Pelodiscus sinensis: one gene and its partner. The main gene of each other region encodes a partner of the protein of the gene in region 2 in a complex. Links are inferred from orthologs where the notes say so. Each region holds a gene or a part of one and is shown on either strand. Other genes may lie near its edges. The genes, in order: SUFU and GLI1.

Region 1 (10,558 bases), on a different chromosome or scaffold from region 2:
GCAAAGTGGAACACTACTTACAGTCAGGACATATCAACTAGCAGACTACTTAATACAATAATCCATTTTACATAAAATGGAATGTGCAGACTTTTTTTTTTTTTTTTACACACTGTTGACACTCTGACAAGGTTAGTGGACTCATTAGCAATCTGCAGTCACATCTGGCTGTGCAGAAAGAAAGGTAACTCCACGTCAGTATGAGAAAATGTGCCAAGCTATTTCCCCTGCTATTCGTACTGTCTATACAGACAACAGAAAGGACAGATGAAAACAAGAAGACACAAGATGTCAGCCATGTTTATGGAACATAGCAAGTGGCTGTTTAACTGCTTCCGGTATGACCTGCTTTCTGGTCAAAACAAAAATACTCTATTATGCAAAACAAATGTAAAAAGACCCAAACAAAAAAGCCATGGAACTAAAATGGCTGCACCCCCCACCCTTTTATATGCTGTTTGGTCAGGCCCCGTTGCTATAATTTGTGGCTCCTCAGTGGTATCTCAGGACCCTAGACTTTAACTTCATCAGGACAGAGGCCTGTCTGTATGACACTTAATTCCACTCTTCATGCTACCCAAATAATCCACCAGAACTGCCCATATCTCGCAGAAATCTCTGCACCCTCATTACTTTTTAGCCTTCCAAATACCTCTTCAAATACTATTCTCGGCAGGAGTTCGCTACAATGCGCACTTTGCAACTGCACTGTAATCTTCATTTCTCTGTATAAAGGTTCAGACACAAAATTGTGATAAATGGAAGTGTTTGGAATGTTTTTAGAACAAGTAGAACTTCTGAAAGTTAAATTTTCAGCATGGGATATACATGTTTTATACCATGGTCAACTGGATAGGGGATGTTAGCAATAAGGCTAGTCACAGGGAAAACTATACTTGCACGAAGAATTCCCCACTGAGCTGACCAATGTTAAACTTCCTGTGCTTCTGTCATGGAGGAAGACCTGAGCAAGTGTTCAGCTTTACCCTCCTAATGGATGATTAGTGAAAAGAGGTAACGTGATAATTCCATTTTTAATGAATGTAACAGCACTATTACAAAAATGCCTTGACACAATAAAATGTGACAGGAAACAAAGCGGTGAAAGAACAAGGATGAAACAGCTCAATTCCACAAATTTTGAAAACTTTTCTATCAAAGTAAGGAATATAACAATGCTGGTCTATTGCTTGCAATTTTTTGTCATGAAGGAATTTTACTTCAGGAGCTCTTATTAAGAAAGGTGGTTAAATATAATAATCTGAAGATTACAAAGAAGTTTCCACACACATAGACACAGGAGTGCTTCCAAAAGCTCCAAAAGCTTTCTGAATTAATTTCCAAAAATATACAAATGAAACATGTTAAAAGAATACATGTGATACATGAAATATTTTTCATTCTTCAGTTTTTTTCCCCCTCAAAAGGTATGCAGTTTACTTGGTTTTGCTGCATGTTTACATAGATACTTGCCTTGTTTTGCAAGCCAGAGAACCCTTTTAACACTGCAATATCCTGTAAATCACAACTTTTTTTTTTTTAAGAGACTGGTTACGTATAATTAAAAATGGATTAGAGTTGTATTATTATCCCTGAGGGACTGAGCTCTGTTCAGCTATTTCCTCTTTGAATCTAAACTAGTGATACTCTGGAACTCAGTGGTTCAGGAGCCAAATTATCAATCAACATTACCCAAAAGTGCCACAGTACTGTGAACTGTCTCTCATAAATAAATAACATTTATTATAGTACAAGTCACACAACAAAATGACCAAATTTTATCAACTACAATTGGTTAACAACATCGCAAAAGCATTCTGATTGGTTAATAACTTAGGCTGGTTAATAATTAAATCACACAGTGCTTTAATAGCACGTGCACATTAGAGAGCCACTTGCAGCTCACGAGACTCATTCTGACAATCACTGATCTAAACCATTCTAATTGCTTGCAGCCCGGAAGAATGAGGACAGAAGACAACCACACAGGAAAGTGTGAACAACAATGAATTCAGCAAATATTTTACAAATGTTTAAAGACTCTGATAGACTTTATAACACTATGTCAACACTAGACCTGTTGCTAAAATTTCCTCTGGGTAGCAGCTGCAGTATATACTGACTGTGCTAGACATGCTGCCACTGGTATGACCACCAATTAAAATGCACAGGAGGTAACAATGGTGATAAACATTAGAGCTAAGGCCTAAGATCTGACCACAGAAAAACAGTATTATCCCTACCACTAGCGCCTTTTTCAGGATCTAGGACATGAGTGTACATCTCTCAACCGATTAGCACCGTAGGAGATACTCAGAGCTATTTATTCCTAAAATCCAAAGAGGACTTTATCATAATCATTATAGACCCAATTCTACCTTCATATCACACAAATCTTGTCTCATTCCAGTTGACATGGACATAAACTGTTGACAGAAGAGAAAGCACTTGAATGCCTAAAGGCAGACATCTAAATCTCTATTGCTGTAGCGATTTGATCAACCCACTTTGGTACCAAATCTGTGCAGTGTTAGCCTGCACTCAGACAAAATTCAACCATTTACTTTTCAAGCTTCCCTAGATATTTAGCAATTAGGTCTAGATCCCAGATTTGTATTAGCAGCCAACAAACCAGAAGAATCCGCCTTCCTCATCCAAAAAGCACTGGTCTAGATTCTCACAAGAGCAGTGCATCTTTGCAAGGATGCCTGGATTCATCAGTGACCAGCCCAGGAACAACTACTTTTCTACTTCTGCCTAACCAGAAGCAGACCTGATGAAATTAAAGGGAAAACACCAAAGCATGCAGAGCCTTAACTAAAGTTTTCCAAAGCACCAGAAAAGCTTTTGTGGGGTAAAAAAAAAAAAAAAAAAAAAAAACAACCCCTAATCCTGCACTGGCCAGGATACCCCAATGCTGAGTTTCACCCTGCGGACCTCCAGCTATCCACAGAAAACAGACCGGACTGGGCTCTAGTGGCTCCCAAGGAGGGCAGATACAAATAAAGAGCAAGAGTAGATCTGCCAAATTGATTCCGCTCAGAACAATGTACCTGCCCCCACAGGACCCCCCCATCCTTACCCACAGATGGAGTCAACCCTCCCCACTCAGGGAGCCCCTCCCGGTCCAGGCGAATGCCACAGGGAGCCCCACACAAGAGCCCTTAGCCTGCCCCACACAGGGAGCCCCTCCTTAGCCTACCTCACCAGGAAGCCCCCCCACAGGGACCCTCCCTTAGATCGCCTGCCTCACAGGGAGCCCCCCTCAGAGAGACGCCCCTTAGCCCGTCCCCCCAGGGAGCCCCCCCATAGCTCACCCACCACAGGGAGCCCCCCTCAGAGAGATGCCCCTTAGCCCGTCCCCCCAGGGAGCCCCCCCCATAGCTCACCCACCACAGGGAGCCCCCCTCAGAGAGATGCCCCTTAGCCCGTCCCCCCAGGAAGCCCCCCCATAGCTCACCCACCACAGGGAGCCCCCCTCAGAGAGACGCCCCTTAGCCCGTCCCCCCAGGGAGCCCCCCCATAGCTCACCCACCACAGGGAGCCCCCCTCAGAGAGACGCCCCTTAGCCCGTCCCCCCAGGGAGCCCCCCCATAGCTCACCCACCACAGGGAGCCCCCCTCAGAGAGACGCCCCTTAGCCCGTCCCCCCAGGGAGCCCCCCCATAGCTCACCCACCACAGGGAGCCCCCCTCAGAGAGACGCCCCTTAGCCCGTCCCCCCAGGGAGCCCCCCCATAGCTCACCCACCACAGGGAGCCCCCCTCAGAGAGACGCCCCTTAGCCCGTCCCCCCAGGGAGCCCCCCCATAGCTCACCCACCACAGGGAGCCCCCCTCAGAGAGATGCCCCTTAGCCCGTCCCCCCAGGAAGCCCCCCCATAGCTCACCCACCACAGGGAGCCCCCCTCAGAGAGATGCCCCTTAGCCCGTCCCCCCAGGGAGCCCCCCCATAGCTCACCCACCACAGGGAGCCCCCCCTCATCACTCCCCCCCAGGAAGCCCCCCCTCAGCCCACCCCCCATCACTCCCCCCCTGGGAGCCCCCCCTCAGCCCACCCCCCCTCACTCCCCCCCCCGGGAGTCCCCCCCCAGCCCACCCCCCCTCACTCCCCCCCCCGCTCACCAGTACTTGAGGATGGCGGTGACCTGCAGCGGGTTGGGCTGCTCGGGGTAGAGGCGGCGGCACGCGCCGTAGATGCCGTGCAGCCCCGGGGGGAAGAGCGCGGGGAAGGAGCCGGGCCCGGGGGGGGCCCCGCCAGGCCTCGCGCCCTCCATGGGCCCGCGCTCCGGGGGGGGGGGCGCTGTGCGGCTGCGGGGGGGGGAGGGGCGGAAGCGGCCCGCGGGCCCAGGCGGCTGCTCCGGCTCCGCGCGCACCCGGCCCAGGCGGCTCCGTCCGCCGGCGGCTGCCCAGGAGGCGGGCCCGGCTGCCCGCGCCGTGACGGGCGGGCGGCTCCGCCAATCGCGGCGCAGGAGGCGCCCGGCCCGGCGGAGAGGCGCGCGCGCGCCCCCTGGCGGCGGCGGCCTGCGGCTGCAGCAGCCCGCGGAGGAGGGGGAGGGGGCGCTGGGGGAGCCCCGTGGAGAAGTCCCATGCAGAGGAGAACGGGCCCTATAGGGGGGCAGAGGGCAGGGGCGGGAGCTGGGGGGCCTGTAGGGGTGAGCAGAGGAAGGGGGAAGCTATGGGGCAGGGAGAAGGCCCTGTGCTGTTAATAGGGCCCTTGGATGCTTCGTGCAGTCCTGGGCCAGTGGTGGGCAACGTGCAGCCCGCTGGGACCTCACCTGCAGCCCACAGACCCCGTCTGCTCTCCTCCCCCCCCCCCCCCGCGCCAGCACACCGGAGCCCCACACTTCCAACTCCTCCCCCCCCCCCCCGCGCCAGCACACCGGAGCCCCACACTTCCAACTCCTCCCCGTCCCTCCTGCGCTTTCGGAGCACGCGACTCCCCTGATCCGTGCTACACCCCAGCTCCTCCTGCCCCCTCCCAGAGCTGGAATGCCACAAATCAGCTGATTCATAGTGTTCCAGATCTGGAGGGGGGTGGGAGGGGAATAGCAGCCAGCGCCTCCTCCCCCCTGCTGCCTCTGTCTCAGAGGCGGCAGGGGTAGGAGGGAGCTGATCCGCACAGGGAGCTGGCTTTTAAGCCGTTTCCGTGCACTGACTCCCACGGAGCTGCCTGCCCCCCCATGTAAATGTGTAACCACTGAAAATGTCACAATCTAGTCAGCCAAGACACTCAGACCTGCAGAGGAGCTCTCTGTACAGGCTCACTGACAGGGTGGGGCAAAGGGGGCAATTACCCCAGTGCCCGGGGCTCTCAGCCACCTCTGCTACTGCAGAAGTGGCGCTTGGAGCCCCAGGCCTTTTCAATTGCCGCCAGAGCCCTGCATGGCATGTTCCGGGCAGCTCTTAGGGCCGGGGAAAGGGTCCAACGTAGTGCCCTCTGGGGGAGGTGCTGAGAGCTGGCTGCCCTCAGCCCCACCCTTTCCACCTAAGGCCGCACCCCTTTCAGGAGTAAGCAGCCGGCCCCCCTCACCTTTCCCAAGGGCCCAACATGACTGTCAGTTCCTCTGTCTATGTAGCTTCAAAGGCTTGTCTCTTCACTAACAGAAGTTCATTCAACTTCAATACAAAGATATTACCTCACCCCCATTCCGCCCCCCCCCCAACTTTCACATCTCCTGGGACCAACACAGCTGCAGCCTGTGTTCCCTCTAATGTTTTACATGCCTGTGTAGAATGAATGTTGTTACGTGCACCACTATGGAGGTGACATGTGGACGGGGGGGGGGGGGCGCTAAGGGGGTCAGGACTGTGGCAGAGGGGGTGAGCGTTCTAGCTGGGGGTGAAAGGTCTAGGATGGAGCCAGGAATAAGGGATACAGGATGCAGGCTGCCTCAGCATTATAGCAGGGAAAACAGAATTCCCCTCAGCCCTCTCTCACTGCAGCAGCTCAGGGCGAGGTAAAAGGCACCTCTCCTCAGCTGCAAGGGGCCCCTCCCTCTCCTTGGCTACAGTAGCTTCAACACCGCAGGGATGCTTCTTCCCATCTGTGAGGTCCTAAATAGCCTGCTGCACTGCTGCACAACTTACAGGGAACTTAGTCTACAGCAACACTACAAATTACATTTATTAAGATAAATAACTGAGTGGAGATTAGCTTTACTGGGATAAATGGAAAGGTCAGCACAGAAGTGCTCACTGTGTGAATGAGACAGAGTGGATCCAATGACCCAGTGCTTAAACACTCTTCATGCACACTGATTACAATTAACTGAAAGCAGCACTCACAAAAAGGACTCTCATTTTGCACAGATGACTATAACTTTCTGCTCAGTGCCAGCAGCAAACAATCAGAATGTTAATAGGATGGATAAAGAATGAATCAATATTAGTACAGTAGCACCTAAAAGCTAAACTCTGAAATGTTTGTAACTCTGAATAAAATATTATGATTATACTTTCAAAAGTTTACAACTGAACTTTGACTTAATACAGCTCTGAAACTCTACTATATAGAAGAAAAATGCTACTTATGGCCATCTTAATTTAAAGGAAACAAGCCCAGAAATAGTTCCCTTTAGTAGTTTACATTTAACACACTGAACTGTATTGGCTTCTTTTTATTTTGGTCTCTGGCGTGGTCTGAGTGCATACTTCTAGTTCCAAAGGAGGTGGTGTGGTTGGCTGGTCAGTACATATCTCTGAGGTTTTAATCCTGAAGTTCTACTGGATTGAAAATATTAGAATGGCATTACAAAAAGAAAATACACCATCACATGGATTATTCAGTCAGTCACCTCAAAGACCATAGAAGAAATTGATGGGGCTCAAAGAGTGATGGAAAACTGATTAAATATAGTAGTAGAAATGTAGCCGTGTTAGTCCGGTGCAGCTGAAACAAAAAACAGGACTGTGTAGCACTTTAAAGACTAACAAGATGGTTTAATAAGTGATGAGCTTTCGTGGGCCAGACCCACTTCCTCAGATCAATTTTCTTCCACTATTTGATCTGAGGACGTGGGTCTGGCCCACGAAAGCTCATCACTTAATAAACCATCTTGTTAGTCTTTAAAGTGCTACAGCGTCCTGTTTTTTGATTAAATATAGAGAGAGATGAAAAAACTTGGGCTACTTACCAGGGATATGATGGATGAATAATAAATCAAATAATAATAATTATATACAAAAGGGAGATTAACCACTGTCATTTCCTCTCTCTCCTAACAGAGACATACAGAGAAGCACTTAATTTGAAAGACAACAAATTGAAAATTGAAAGATTTCCCCTCCTCCCTCATGAACTATTTATTAATCCATGGAAATTATTACTACAAGGTATCACTGAGGTAGAGTTTAGCAGCATTCCAAGTTAAAGAGCTTCAGGGGTATCCAAGTTAGCTGTTACAGGATAAACTTAAAAAACAACAGATAGTCTGGTAGCACTTTAAAGACTAACAAAACATGTGGATGGTATTATGAGCTTTCCTGGGTGGGCTGTATCCAGGAAAGCTCATGATACCATCTACATGTTTTGTTAGTCTTTAAAGTGCTACCAGACTATTTGTTGTTTTTTAAGTTATTCCAAGGTTAGTCATTAAGATGGGTAATGAAAACATCCATAAACCACATTAGCCTGCAAAACAAGGCTTCACTTGTTTTTTATTTAAATTAGGGATATAGTCACTCATCCTTAGGGGAAAAATTATTAATGACTGATAGGCTTAGTGAGACACTTTCCCACAGAGTGGCTGTGTCTAGACTGGCCAGTTTTTCCGGAAAATCAGCCGTTTTTCCGGAAAAACTTGCCAGCTGTCTACACTGGCCACTTGAATTTCCGCAAAAGCACTGACTTCCTACTGTAAGAAATCAGTGCTTCTTGTGGAAATACTACGCTGCTCCCGTTCAGGCAAAAGTCCCTTTCGCACAAAGCTTTTGCGCAAAAGGGCCAGTGTAGGCAGCTCAGATTTGTTTTCCGCAAAAAAGCCCTGATCGTGAAAATGGCGATCGGGGCTTTTTTGTGGAAAAGCGCGTCTAGATTGGCATGGACGCTTTTCCGCAAAAAGTGCTTTTGTGGAAAAGCGTCCATGCCAATCTAGACACTCTGTTCCAAAAATGCTTTTAACGGAAAACTTTTCTGTTAAAAGCATTTCCGGAAAATCATGCCAGTCTAGACGCAGCCAGTAGGTAATTTCATCATAGTTCATTACAGGCTGTGATTTTTTAAACCTTCCTCTGCAGCAGCTGGTACTAGTCAGTGATAGAGAGAATTTCTGGTTAGATGAATCATTGCTTTGATTTAGTATGGTCATTGCCATATTCTCGTAAAGAAAACCTGCAGAGGAACAAAAATACTGGCTCTGTGCTTCACCAATACACTAACATTTTTTGAGGGTCATCAACAAGCATGTAGCCGCAGGGAGCCGGTGGCTGTAGTGCACTTGGTTTTCCAGAAAGCCTTTGACCAGGTCTTTCTTCAAAGGTTCTTAAGTGACGTAAGCTGTTATGGGAGAAGGAAGGTCATTTCATGGACGGGTAACTGGTTAAAAATAGGAAACGAAAAGTAGGAAAAAATGGTCAGTTTTCAGAATGGAGGGAGGTAACTAGTTGTGTCCTGTATAAGGATGTCAAATCCTAGTTAATTAGTTCACTGGTTAAACGTTAGGGGGAGAGGCTGGGTCTGGAGCTGCTGCTGGCTCCTAGTTCCCAGCCCCTGTCTGTGGCAGGCCTGGGCTCCCCGTAAACAGAGACTGTTCCACGGGAGCAGAGCCTGCCTGTGGGGCACCAGGGACCACCCTGGACAGGAGCTGCTCCAGACAAAAACAGCCCCTTTCTGCAGTGGGCCCTCTGTGCCCACAGCATGCAGGGAGCTGCTCCAGCCACTGGTTACTGGAAACAGCAAGCATTATCCATTTGGGGTGACGTTTACTGGCTAACCTTTCACACCCCTAGTCCCCCAGGAGTCTGTACTGGGACCAAGCACATTCAACAGATTCATAAAAAATTTGGAGAAAGGGGTAAACAGTGAGGTGGAAAAATTTGCAGGTGATACAAAAGTGCTCAAGATAGTTAAGTTCAAAGCAGACTGTGAAGAGCTTCCCAAGGATCTCACTAAACTAGAGCAACAAAAATAGCAGATGAATTGTGATGCTGATAAAGACAAAGTAATGCACATTGGAAAACAATACCAACTACACGTATAAAATGATGGGGTCTAAATTAGCTGTTTCTCTTAGGCTACGTCTAGACTGGCATGATTTTCCGGAAATGCTTTTAATGGAAAACTTTTCCGTTAAAAGCATTTTCAGAACAGAGCGTCTAGATTGGCCCGGACACTTTTCCGCAAAAGCACTTTTTGCGGAAAAGCATCCGTGCCAATCTAGATTTGTTTTCCACAAAAAAGCCCCGATTGCCATTTTCGCAATCAGGGCTTTTTTGTGGAAAACAAATCTGAGCTGTCTACACTGACACTTTTGCACAAAAGGACTCTTGCCCGAACAGGATCAGCACAGTATTTCCGCAAGAACATTGACAATCTTACATGAGATCGTCAGTGCTTTTGCGGAAATTCAAGCGGCCAGTGTAGACAGCTGGCAAGTTTTTCCGGAAAAGCGGCTGATTTTCCGGAAAAACTGACCAGTCTAGACACAGCCTTAGGGTTTCCAGGAATCTAGTACTGACCCAGACAGTCCAATATTTTCACCTCCTGTCCGGTAAACAAAGTCAGAAAATACCAGATACCTAAAATGTCCAGTATTTTCTGATTTCTTCCCAGCCAGGAGGTGAAAATCCTGGGTGCCTACGTGGTGCCGCAGGGGAGCTGTCTGGCCTGAAGCAGGAAGACAAGATGGCAGCCGGCAGCATGTTAGGGCCAAAAACGCTCAAAAGCATTTCTTAAAGGGGCCATGCTGGTCTCCCCCCCTTTTTTTTCCTCAACAGAATTTTTTCCCAGATTTTTTTTTTTTTGAGGGAAGGGGGTGTTCGGTATTTTTGGTTAAACCATCTGGCAACCCTAGTTTCCCCTCAAGAGAGAGATCTTGGAGTCATTGTGGATAGTTCTCTGAAAACATCCACTCCGTGTGCAGTGGCAGGCACAAAAGCAAACAGCATGTTGGGACGCACTAAGGGCTAGAGAATAAGACAGAGAATATCATCTCGCTTCCATGTAGATCCGCGGTGCGTCCACACCTTGAATATTGCGGACAGATGTGACCCCGCATTCTCTTGGCATTGGAAGAGTTTCGAAGAAAGGCAATGAAACGAGGAGGGGCGTGGCCCGGCGGCTGTATGAGGACAGATTAATAAAACTGGGGCTGCACCCCCCCCCCAGGCACCAGCTTCCCCCAACTGCACCTCCCAGTATCCCCTGGAATGCACAGACCCTCCATCCTAGCTCCCAGCACCACACTGCCCCCCTCCTTCCTGGACTGCCCCCCTCCTCCCTGGACTGCAGGTCCCAGCACCAGACTGCCCCCCCCCCGCAGACTGCCCCCCCTCCCCACACTGCCCCCTCCCCCGCAGACTGCCCCCCCTCCCCACACCCCCTCCCCCGCAGACTGCCCCCT
Region 2 (11,194 bases):
GTGGGCTCGGCTCCAGCTTCCAGCCTCGCCCTCCCCACCCCAGGGCCCCGACATGTTGCAAGGTGTCCAATGACTCACTGCATGGGACGGAGGCTTCTCTGCAGCGGGCAGCCTCGCCCGGCTCCCTGTGCCGCACTGCAGCCAAGCTCCAGCCAGCTGTGCCGGAACCCCTCACCTGCAGCCTCTGCCAGCCCCCCAGCCCGGCCCCCTAGCCTGGCCGGTGCCCCTCACTGCCGACCCGCAGCCCCCCAGCCCTGCCGGCACCCCTCACCCCCAACCTCCAGCCCCTGACCCCCCAGCCCTGCCGGTGCCCCTCACCCCTGATCCACAGCCCCCAAGTGGGGGACTGAAATCCCCCACCCACATGACCCATAGACCAGAAGCCACGCTGAGAGCGGGCGAGCGTCCGGGACGGGCCCGAGAAAAGCCGGGATGCGAGGCAGCCTCCCCCGCAGCTTTAGAGCTGCGGCCCCCGTCTGGCCAGGGGTACCGTGCCCAGCTGCCCCGGAGCCGACAGGAGCCGGCGCTGGGCGGGGACCGAGCGTCACATGGAGTCAGTCGCACAAATCAACAAACAGGCGGAAGGGCTGTACCCGTCACCGAGGCCACTTGTATCCCAGGGCCTGCCCTGCGTCCGCCCCGACCCCTGCCCTGCCGCCTGCTCACCCTGCCTCTCCGCCAGTCCTGGCACTGCCTCACTTAGCCCCTGCCCCTCCGCCCTGGCCTGGCACCCGCTGCTTTGGCAGCCAGAGACGCCCAACAATTTACAGCCTGGGAGACAGGGAGTCGTAGCTGCAATGTCACCGCCCCAGAGCCGCAGAGGGGCCAAGGGACCCAGCCGGAATCAGCGGTGAAGGCAGGAACAGGGCCCTGGCTCCCGGCCCCTGGCCACCCAGCAGTCCCAGAACAGCCCTGGGGGGCCCAGGGGCAAACAATGCGCTTGATGTAAATTGATATTTAACCTTCAAAACCAGTCCCTGCCTAGTGACCCCGGAGCCTCGCACGGCCCCGGCGCTGCAGAGCTGGGCCAGGCCCCGCTGGCTCCTGGCACCATAGGATGCACCCTTCGGGCCACGGGGCGTGGCCGAGTGCAGGGCCCATGTGTGGCCCCTGAAAATGGGGCCCAGAGAGCGACGGAGACGCCCAGGGAGCCGGGCCGAGCGGGGGCCAGGGGGTATTCAGGGACGCGAATGCACGCTCTCCCTGGGAGCAAACCGCTTCTCAGGGCTGCAGCTCGGAGCCCGCGCGCTGGCTGAACCGGGGCTTTGTCTACAGGGCTGAATTTCAAGCTGTTTCCAAGCCGATGCGGTGCCCCCGCGTCAGCACCCGGCTTTGGGCCTCAGCCGCGGCCCAGGGATGTGAGCAGAACTGGCTGCCCTCCTGCACTGCGCCCGCTGGGCCCCTGTGGCTCCTAACGGGGGGGTCTGCTTGGAAAAGCCACCCGCACCCCGGGCACCGAGCCGGCAGGCTCAGCGGAGACCGAGGGCTCAATGGGCCGTGGTGCGTGAGCCCCCGAAAGGCCGAGACTCTCGGGCAGAGTTTGTAGGTAGAGATCTGGGGTCCATGCAGCCTGGCGGGCTCTGCTCTCTGGTCGGGTCCATGATTTCGAGTCGGGTCCATGCAGCCGGGCAGGGCCCTGATCTGGGGTCGGGTCTTTGCAGCACCCGGCCCGTCGGCACCTCCAGGTGTTACCACCAGGCACCTCCTGCCGAGCCCCCCGCCACGGAGGGGCTCTCCCTTCCCACCCAGCCCTGAACATCTCTGTGGCAAGCCCAGGAACTGCTGACGCGGCAGCGTGCAGCTCAGGGCCCCTGGGCTGGGCCGAGGATTCCCCGGGTGGGGCAGCCACTGGCCTCTCCCGGCCCCCGGGTTTGATTCCCGGTGGCTTCTGGGACGCTCCTCTGGGGAGTGTGAAAGCTGCAGCCTCGCCCTGAACGGGCCCTGCCAACGCTGCCCGGCAGCCGGCCAAGGGACCAGGGGTGCGGCGGGACCGCGCCCGGGCCGGCTCCGGCTCCCTCTGCCCGGCGAGGTCAGGCCCCGGCCGCCGCGCTGGAGATGGGCCTGGCACCGCGGAGGGGCAGGGGCTGGCCCAGGTGTTCCTGGCACGGCCGGGGGCTCTGGGGGGGGGGGCAGCCGGCACGCCGGGGATTCCCAGCAGCCACAGACGGGCTGCTCCAGGTGCCCACTTATCACCCAGCCCCATCGCCTCCTTCCCCCCAGATCCACAACCCCGGCTGGGGGGCATCCCCTGCTCTCGGGGCCTCAGCAGCATCCGCCCCCCGGCTCCCTCCTCCTGGCCTGCGGGGCCCTCCCCGCCCCTCCACAGATACCCCAAGGGAGCAGCCCGCCCTTTGCATTCACCTTGAGGCTGCACCTGTCCCTGGAGTCTCCACCCTCCCTCTCCTCCACCTGGTCTGTCCCGGTACCGGCGTCCACCCCGCCCGCCCGCCCCAGGCTCTGCCTCGCACCAGCCGGCCGCATCTCCTTGGGCGATCGCGGCCCAGCCACCAGGCCTGCGTGTGTCTCCGCAGCCCAGGAAAGCACCCCCGCAAATTCCAGTTTGGCAAAGTAATTGGCCGTGCCCCCCACCCCACACACACACTCCCGGCTGGGTTCATTGGACCTGATCTGAGTCCAGACGTCGGGAGCCTCCTGGATTGCATTGCCAAAAGGAGAGGAAGGGAGAGGAGAAAAAAGCGACTTGGAAACTTTGCAAATTAAACTTGGACGAAGGGAAATTTACTGTCAAGTCAGCTGGGTTTTGTTGGCCATGGGGCACATAGGAATTCGAAGCCAACTAGCTACAGTTGCGCTTTGCCTGTGGGCACCGAAGTCTGGAGTCACGGAATAGCTACTTACGCATCTCGCCGCGGCCAAAAAGGATCAAGCCTTTCGCAAGGTTTGTGTGGTTGAAAAAAACCCCCAAAATTAAAATCCTTCCGGCAGGTCCTGAGACAAAGTGTCCTAAAAGCAAAACAATCCCCTGGAACCAGAAACCACAATACTGGGCAAAATTCCTGCTCCCCTCAGAATTGTAGTTAACATTTTATAAAAGAAAAAGTGATTCTAAAAAAATGAATCGTACCTTTGGGAGCTGGAACGGGATAGTGACTCACGATCCAAAGGAAGGACCCTTTTCTTTTCCTTTTCAGTGTTTTCTCCCCCAAAATCGCTCGCTTTGGTGCCTTGAGGCTGGAACTCCACTTTTCGGGGGACTTGGCTTCTTTCCCGGAGAAAAATGTAACATCCAGCGAAAGGATTAAACCAGCAAACCCAAACCGGCAGCCACGGAGCCTGCGAGCCTTCCCCGTCACAAAACTTTCCCCATCTTTCGTTTCTGTCTTTTCCCTGGAAATCCACTCGAAGGAAAAAAAATGGTTAAAAAATGTGCTTTTTGTCCCATCTGCCCGACGCAGGCCGGGTTATAAATATTCCATTCTCAGACTGCAGCCCGGGACCACCTTGGAGAAGGAAGTTTTGTTTTTCTTTAAGAAACTTTCCTGATGATTTCTTGAGTCTTTCCACATGGGAGAGCGACTCAGCGTTACGCTGCTCGGCTTTGATGCTGCGCTGGGGCTTTGGGGGAAGTGTCAGGAAAGACACAAAAAAAATTTTTTCTCCTTCTTGCCCCTTTCAAGTTGTGGAGCAGTTTTTCGAAGCTTTTTTTTTTTTTTTTTTAAGAAAAACTTTGAAGGCTGAGGGTGGAGGAGGGTTGTGCACTGTGTGAGGCGGTGTGAGGGAAGACCCTACAACTGAATTCACACAGCATGCTGTCTACAATTTCAGAGACACTTTGAAAACCTGGGATGGATCAGTGCACACACTAACACACATGCACACACAGAGCCTGCAAAGACACACACACTGAGCGTGCGCGCACACACATACACACACACAGAGCGTGCAAACACACGCACAGTACGTATACACACACGCACGCGCACAGTACGTATACACACACAAACACACGCACGCGCACACAGTATGTACGCGCACACATGTATACACACACACACACTCACACCAACAGGCAGCCAAATCCGGCTGCAAACTCCCAACTTGCCCCATCCAGGCATCATTTCGGGTGGGCGCTTTTTCATGCTCTCTGCCTGCTCGGCCTCCGTTTGTGGCCCTTGGGGCTGTGGTCTGGACCCATCCGGCTCTCAGGGGCTGTACAAGAGGGGAGGAGTTCACATCGAAGTTCTGGGCCTGGAGGGGCCGGGGTGGGAGGCAGGGCCACCGATGCAGAGTCACGGCGAGGGACTGGGGGGGCAGGCAGGACGAACGTGGGTGGTACCGCGATCTTGGGCAGCTGCTTGCAAGGGCGCTGCCTCCGAGTCCACGGGGCTGGGGCAAACGGGGTGGGGGACTTCTCCCCACTCCGGAGCCCTGGGGGGAGTTAGCAGGAGCCGTGGCTTGGAGCCAGCTCTCCAAGGACTGGGTGCTCTCAAACGACCCCCCAAATGTCGCGGCTCAGGGTGTGGGGTGAGCGTAAGAGGGGCCTGCGTCCCCAGCGAGGGGGTCTCAAGCTCAGGGCCTGGAAGGAAACATCTCCAGGGGATGAGGTTTTCCAAAGAGATGGCAAATTTTCGGGAGGTGCGGGGAGGCATTCCCGGTGTGGGAGCAACACATGGGATTTTCCCTGCCCACCCCCAGCAGTGCCAATGAGTTGTCATCCGCAGGCCCCTTCGCCGGGAGCCCTTCCCTCACTGGGGCTGCTGGCAAGGGGGTGTCTTTGGGGAGTCTCGGGGGGGGGTGAGAATCCCCTTTTCTCGGCTGTCAGTCTGACAGATGTGAGCCGGCTCCGGGTTGTGCCCGGCAGGGCTCCGAGCGCCCGTGCGTGGCAGAGCCACGAATCCTCCCTGGGTCGCAGGGTGCTGACCTCACAGGGCCCCCATGATGTCAGAGCCCCTGAGCTGTGATGTCACACGGCGAGGGGGCGTGGCCAAGGCAGCACATCATGATGTCATGCCGGCAAGGTCGTGTTACGGTGCCAGACTGTGACCGTGCCAGGCCGCCATGATGTCTCACTGCTGCCACCTCCCCCCGTGATGTCACACTGGGGCGATGCCACCTCATGGCCCGTGGGGGGGGGCAGATGCGCAGAGCCGAGGGGGCCCCACCTGCCACTCTGGGCTCTGGTACAGCTGGGCCAGGCTGGCCTCCCTTCCCCATGGAGCCCAGTTCTCCCCCAGAACTCACCCCCCCTTCTCATGGTTCAACCCCAGCTCCCAACAGCCCCCCCATAGGGTTCCCCTGAGTTCCCCACACCCCCCCCAGGGTTCTTCTGCCCCTCACTCTCCCAGCTCCCCCCGCCCACCTTCCCTCTCAGCACCCAGCAGGAGGTGCTGGATTCCTACTGGGGGACATCTACGGGTGCTGGGGGGGGCAGAGGATGCTGTGGGGGCGATCTGCCCCAGCACCCGTCTGGGGGTTCGGGTCCCCAGCCGGGGGGTGATGGACTGGACATGGCCCCTCAGGGCCTGTGCTGGGACCAGGAGCCTCCGAGCCCTGGTACAAGCGGAACAGCCGGGAGGGGGGAGGACAGGCTGGGAATAGAACCCAGGAGTCCTGGCTCCCCCCCCGCCCCTGCTCCGCCCACCAGACCCCTCGCCCTCCCGGAGTGGGGAGACTCTCCCCTGCCAGGCCCAGGTTCAGGCTGATGCAGGTTTCCAGGCACATGGCACCACCCAGTTATCTCCCACCTCCCACATGGCACCTCTCCTGGCTCTGGGAGGAGAGTGGGGTGTAGTGGTCAGAGCAGGGGGGCTGGGAGCCAGGACTCCTGCGTTCTGGAAGGGGAGTGGGGACCCTGAGAACACACCTGGCCCCCCGTGTGCCCCATAGCAGGGATCCCCAGCCCCCCCTCTCCACGGCCTGGGGTTTAACAGCACAAGCCTGCTGGGAACAGGGTTGAAAGGGCTTGAGATTCCCGGTGCAGAGTGGCCCCAGCCCTGCTCCTCTCCTGGCCTTGCTCCATGCCCATGCAGCTACCTCTGGGGTGGGGCCAGGCAGCCACTAAACTGCCACAGGGCAGCCGCATTGTGAAAGGATCCCACCCTGGCCTGGCACTACAGAGGGAAACTGAGGCAGGCGCCTCCCACACAGCAAGCAGCCCTGGGGAATCTTAGGGGCTGCCTAGCCAACCCCACTCGCTTCCATCGGTGGGCAGAAGCTGCAGCAAGCCCGGGCCTTGCACCCGGTTGATTCCCTGGATTGGGCCAGATGGTCGCTCAGTCAGGGAATGAGGCCAGGTCCCGTCTACACTCCACACTGCAACTGGGCAGAAGCAGTTCTGGCTACCAGGCCAGGTGGGGCCTGAGAGCTCAGTGACGTGGGACATTTCTGTCCCAGATTCTAGCTGCTCATCCAGGGCTGGGCTTGGCCCAAACAGCCCTGCAGGGAACCCAGACCCCAGGCCCCACCCTGCTTGCTCCCACGTGGGGGGAGAAGCCCCAGGCCTTGGGCGGGGGGGAGGGTTGTGCCCACATCAGCTCACCCAGCAGAGCCGGCTGCTCCCAGCTCTGCCACGGGTGGGCGCGGGCCCCATGCCTCAGTTTCCTCCCCTGGAGGATGGCCACTGCTGTGTGTGTGTGTGTGTGTGTGTGTGTGTGTGTGAGAATCATCTGTCTCCTCCTCCCATGCATCTGCACAAGCCCTGTGCTCTCCGCTTGGGCCAGACAGCTGGGCTGGGCTGCGGGAGCTTGTTTCCGTGGCTGTAAAGCGGCATCGGGCTGCCCTTCACCTGCTCCTCGTGTCACCGGCTGGGGGACAAGGAGGGGGACAAGGAGGGGCTGGCTCCAGGCCTTGGGGCAGGAGTGTTGCTCTGAAGACTGGGGCACTGACTCTCCATTGGGGCCCACCCTCCTCCGTGCCTCAGTTTCCCCATCTCCTGGCCAGCTGCTGCAAGTGTGGGGAGGAGTCTTCCTCACTGGTCCGGAGAAGAGAGCCCGGCCCACTGGTGGTGGTTTCGCCAGCGCGAGGAGCTTGGGGCCGGGAGGTTGGAGGGGGAACACGTGCCCACAGCCTGTCTCGGGGCGTTTCCCTGTGGGGGGGGCCCTGGGTTGGGGGGAAGCATGGAAGCTCCAGTTCAGCTCCTCCCCCCCAACCTCACCCCCAGTTTTGCTGCCTGCGAAATCCCCCCACCCCAAATTCTGCTGTCCCCCGAATCCCGCCCCCGAATCCGAGTCTTGCTTGCTCGCTGCCCTCCGGGAAGGCCGTAGGGTGAATCTCGGGGGGGGGGGTGTGATTCCTGAGGCACCACATGGCAAGCAAACAGGCACCGGGGCCAGGCTCCCAGTGCTGGGGGGATCCGGGGCCAGCTGCCGCTTGGGTAACTCCGGCAGGCGGTTGCATTTCCCGTCACCTCCAGACCTGCCCCGCGGCCAAGGCCGAACTGGCTGTTCCCAGCAACAGGGCCATGCCCCATCCGGCCCCCCCCCCATGGCAGCGGGAGCACCTCACTCCCTCGTGGGGCCAGACCCGCTGCCAGGCGAGTGGGCTGGCCTGAGGCAGGTCCGGGTGGGGAAACCGAGGCAGGACGAGGCCACGCAAGGCAGAGTCTGCGTCAGAGCTGGGCCGGCCTGTGCGACCTCCCCCCCCCCCCCCGCCCCGGCAGGGCTGGGAAGAGAACTCAGGAGTCGGGCACCAGGGTAACGACCCGCCCTCGCGGGGTTTATTTTTAGCCCAAGGTGGCCCCGCCCCACCCGCCATCCCATTGGAGTGTTGCCCTGCCGACCGAATGCGGGGCAAAGGGCTGGCCGGGAGGGGGGGGGGGGGGGAGCGTGGCCTTTGCCCAGTGGGTGACATCATGGGCCAGAGCCAGACCCCCCCCAACTCGCCTGCCCCCTCCCAACCCCGCTGCCTGGGCCGGACCCCCCCTCACTCGCCCCCTCCCAGCCCCACTGCCTGGGCTGGACCCCCCCCCCACTCGCCCCCTCCCAGCCCCGCTGCCTGGGCCGGACCCCGCCTCACTCGCCCCCTCCCAGCCCCGCTGTCTGGGCCGGACCCCCCCCACTCGCCCCTTCCAACCCCGCTGCCTGGGCCAGACCCCCCTCCACTCACCCTCCCCCTTCCCCTCCCAGCCCCACTGCCTGGGCCGGACCCCCCCCACTCGCCCCCTCCCAACCCCGCTGCCTGGGCCAGACCCCCCTCCACTCACCCTCCCCCTTCCCCTCCCAGCCCCTCTGCCTGGGCCAGACCCCCCCCCACTTGCCCTCCCCCTCCCAGCCCCGCTGCATGGGCCGGATCCCCCCCCTCGCTCTCCCCCTCCCAGCCCCGCTGCCTGGGCCGGACCCTCCAGCCGAGCGGGACCAAGGGGGACACAACCTCGTGGGACAGGAGCGCTTGCTGCATTTGGGGTCTGTTTGCAGCAAATCCCTGTGGACCCCCCGCTCTGCCTGCAGCCCCAGCCGGCCTGGCCGGTGCCCCCCAGCCCCGCCTTGCAGCCCCGGCCAGCCTGGCCCTGGGCTCCCCCAGCCCGGCCGGTGCCCCCCACCCCCACCCTGCAGCCCCTGCCAGCCCGGCCTGTCCCCCTCCCAGCTCTACCCCGGCTGACAGGGAGTGATGTGCAGACGCCCCCTCGTGGTCACCAGTGAAATGAGCACTGGGCGGGGTGGGGGGGTGGGGATTTGGATCCCAGCGCCCATCTGTCCTGGGGGTGGAAGGCATCAGGACTGGGCAAATGTGACTCTGCAGGGGGCACTAATGCAAACACCCTCCCCCCCCACACACCCCACACTGCCTATGGGGGGGCGTTGGTGCACACACCATACACACGTGCACACACACACTGCCCACGAAGGTGTTGGTGCAAACACACACACACACACACACACACACACACACACTGCTGTGAGCCATGGAGCTTGTGGGCCCAATCCTGCCCCCCAAGGTGACACCTGGGCGCTGCCAGGAGCTGGGGGGGGGGAGCCACAGGGCAGCAGCTGCACACGGCCAATGTCCAAGCTCTCCATGGGTGACAGGGGCTGCCTGGGGCCAGCTGGACCCAGGAGCAGACCCCCCCCCCTCCTGCCAGGCTTGGCCCAGAATCTGGCTCAGCCTCCCCCCCCCCCGCAATGCAGGGCAGCAGCAGGGAGGGGGCAGAACCGAGTTTCCCTCCCCACAAAAGCTCAACCACTTCCATCAGTGACCCCCCCCACCCCCCGCCCCAGCAAAAACCGTGTCCCCTGTTCCCCTGCTCCCCAGCCGAGCGCCCAGCGTTTGCCTCGGGCACCGCTGGCTCCTGCTCCGTCCTTGGCGCTCGCCCCCTCTGACTGCAGCTCCATGCGCACCTGAGGGCTCCGCCCCCAAGGGCCCAGGTCCTGCGGGGCTGGGGGGCTGGAAGACGTCCTGGGGCCCCTGGTGCATGGGGCTCCCGGGGGCGGGGGGCTCCTTGCTCCTGTGAATGCCCCAGAACTGGTCCCCGCCCCACGGCCTCCTGCTGCGTCCAGGCTGGGCTCGGGCAGAGCGAGACCCGACCAGACGGCAGGAGGGACAGACGGACGGACACACACACCCAGCATCCTGCTCCTTCGCCCCCCCCCCCCCCAGCTCGGGCTGTGCCTTTAAGAAAGTGAAAGCAGGTGACAAGGTGGATTAAAGTCTTAAGGGCAGGACGCCCCCCCCAGCTGCACACACCAGGCTGGGTGGGTTAGTGTGTCAGCGTGTCGCTGAGCCGCTGAGCCGCACGCAGGCAGCCGGGCACCTCCAGGCCTGTGCTACTGAACACCAGGGGTTCCAGCAGGGCTGGGGGGGGCAGGGGCTGTGGGGCGGGAGTGAGGGGCACCAGCAGGGCTGGGAGGGCGGGGGCTGCGGGGCGGGAGTGAGGGGCCCGGCAGGGCTGGGGGGGGCAGGGGCTGCGGGGCGGGAGTGAGGGGCCCGGCAGGGCTGGGGGGGGCAGGGCTGGGGGGGGCAGGGGCTGCGGGGTGGGAGTGAGGGGCCCGGCAGGGCTGGGGGGGCAAGGCTGGGGGGGGCGGGGGCTGTGGGGCGGGAGTGAGGGGCCCGGCAGGGCTGGGGGGGCGGGGGCTGCGGGGCGGGAGTGAGGGGCCCGGCAGGGCTGGGGGGGGCAGGGCTGGGGGGGCGGGGGCCGCGGGGCAGGAGTGCGGGAGGCTCTGGGGATAACACTCCAGAGCAGCTTGGCCTTTCCCCCCCAGGCAGGGTGGGGGAGGGGAAGGCGGCTCCATCCCAGCTGATCCCCGCATGTTCGGCGGGCGCTGGGCTGCCCGGCTGACGAAAGCCGCCCTTTGCCCGCGGCGCTGGGCACGAGGCCGTGAGAGCGATCAGGGTTCGGCCCCAGATAACGCGGCCCTGAGCGGACGCTTGCACAATGAGATCGGGGGGGGGGGCACGGGGGGGGAGCCCAGCAGGGAACAGACACGGCCAGGTGGAGAGTGGGGGAGACCTGACTGATCCTACGCAGCCCCCCGACCCCCAGCTCGCCCGACCCCCAGCTCCCCTGACCCTCAGCCCCCCTGACCCCCAGCTTCTCTGAGCCCCTCTGACCCCCAGCTCCCCCGACCCCCATCTTCTCTGAGCCCCAACCCACAGCTCCCCCGACTCCCAGCTCCCCTGACCCCCAGCTTCCCTGACCCTCAGCCCCCCGACTCCTGAGCCCCAGTTCCCCCGACCCCCAGCTTCTCTGAGCCCCGACCCCCAGTTCCCCCAACCCCCAGCTTCCCCGACCCCCAGCTTCTCTGAGCCCTGACCCCCAGTTCCCCTGACCCCCAGCTTCCCCGACCCCCAGCCCCCCCGACTCCCAGCTTCTCTGAGCCCCGACCCCCAGCTCCCTGACCCCCAGCTTCCTTTACTCCCAGCTCCCTCGACCCTGCCATGGAGAGACTCTTGGTCATAGAATCATAGAATAATAGGACTGGAAGGGACCTCGAGAGGTCATCGAGTCCAGCCCCCCGCCCTCAAGGCAGGACCAAGCTCCGTCTACACCATCCCTGACAGATGTCTATCTAACCTGTTCTTAAATATCTCCAGAGAGGGAGATTCCACCACCTCCCTTGACAATTTATTGGGCCGGCTCCGGTTTCAGCCTCTGCAGGGGCAGGTGGCGCAGGGGGACTTGCTGGGCTGGGGGACCTGCCCTGGGAGCTGGGCTGAGGCCTGACAAACTCGGTCTGTGCACAGGCTGCCGAACTAGCCCCTGCTGAGAGCGACAGAGTGCTGCCACCCTGGGGGCTGGGAC

The links.
Region 1: the proteins of GLI1 (region 2) and SUFU are in contact, whole or in part, in a crystal structure (PDB 4KMD), measured with the Homo sapiens proteins. The link is inferred for Pelodiscus sinensis from reciprocal best matches to the Homo sapiens genes GLI1 and SUFU. Residues at the interface, in NP_005260.1 of Homo sapiens: Gly119, Ser120, Tyr121, Gly122, His123, Leu124, Ser125, Ile126, Gly127; in NP_057253.2 of Homo sapiens: Leu144, Tyr147, Asn153, Thr154, Phe155, Gly158, Asp159, His160, Val161, Ser162, Trp163, His164, Gln212, Asn265, Leu266, Ser267, Gly268, Val269, Ser270, Ala271, Glu376, Leu380, Lys398.

What each region holds. Positions count from the first base shown.
Region 1 is NC_134718.1:72,980,233-72,990,790, forward strand, and holds the start of SUFU (suppressor of fused homolog), read right to left. Parts: upstream 4,307-10,558; 5' UTR 4,274-4,306; coding exon 4,122-4,273; intron 1-4,121. UniProt on the Homo sapiens protein: Negative regulator in the hedgehog/smoothened signaling pathway. Down-regulates GLI1-mediated transactivation of target genes. Down-regulates GLI2-mediated transactivation of target genes. Part of a corepressor complex that acts on DNA-bound GLI1.
Region 2 is NC_134729.1:2,898,865-2,910,058, forward strand, and holds the start of GLI1 (zinc finger protein GLI1), read right to left. Parts: upstream 4,062-11,194; 5' UTR 3,086-4,061; intron 1-3,085. UniProt on the Homo sapiens protein: Acts as a transcriptional activator. Binds to the DNA consensus sequence 5'-GACCACCCA-3'. Regulates the transcription of specific genes during normal development.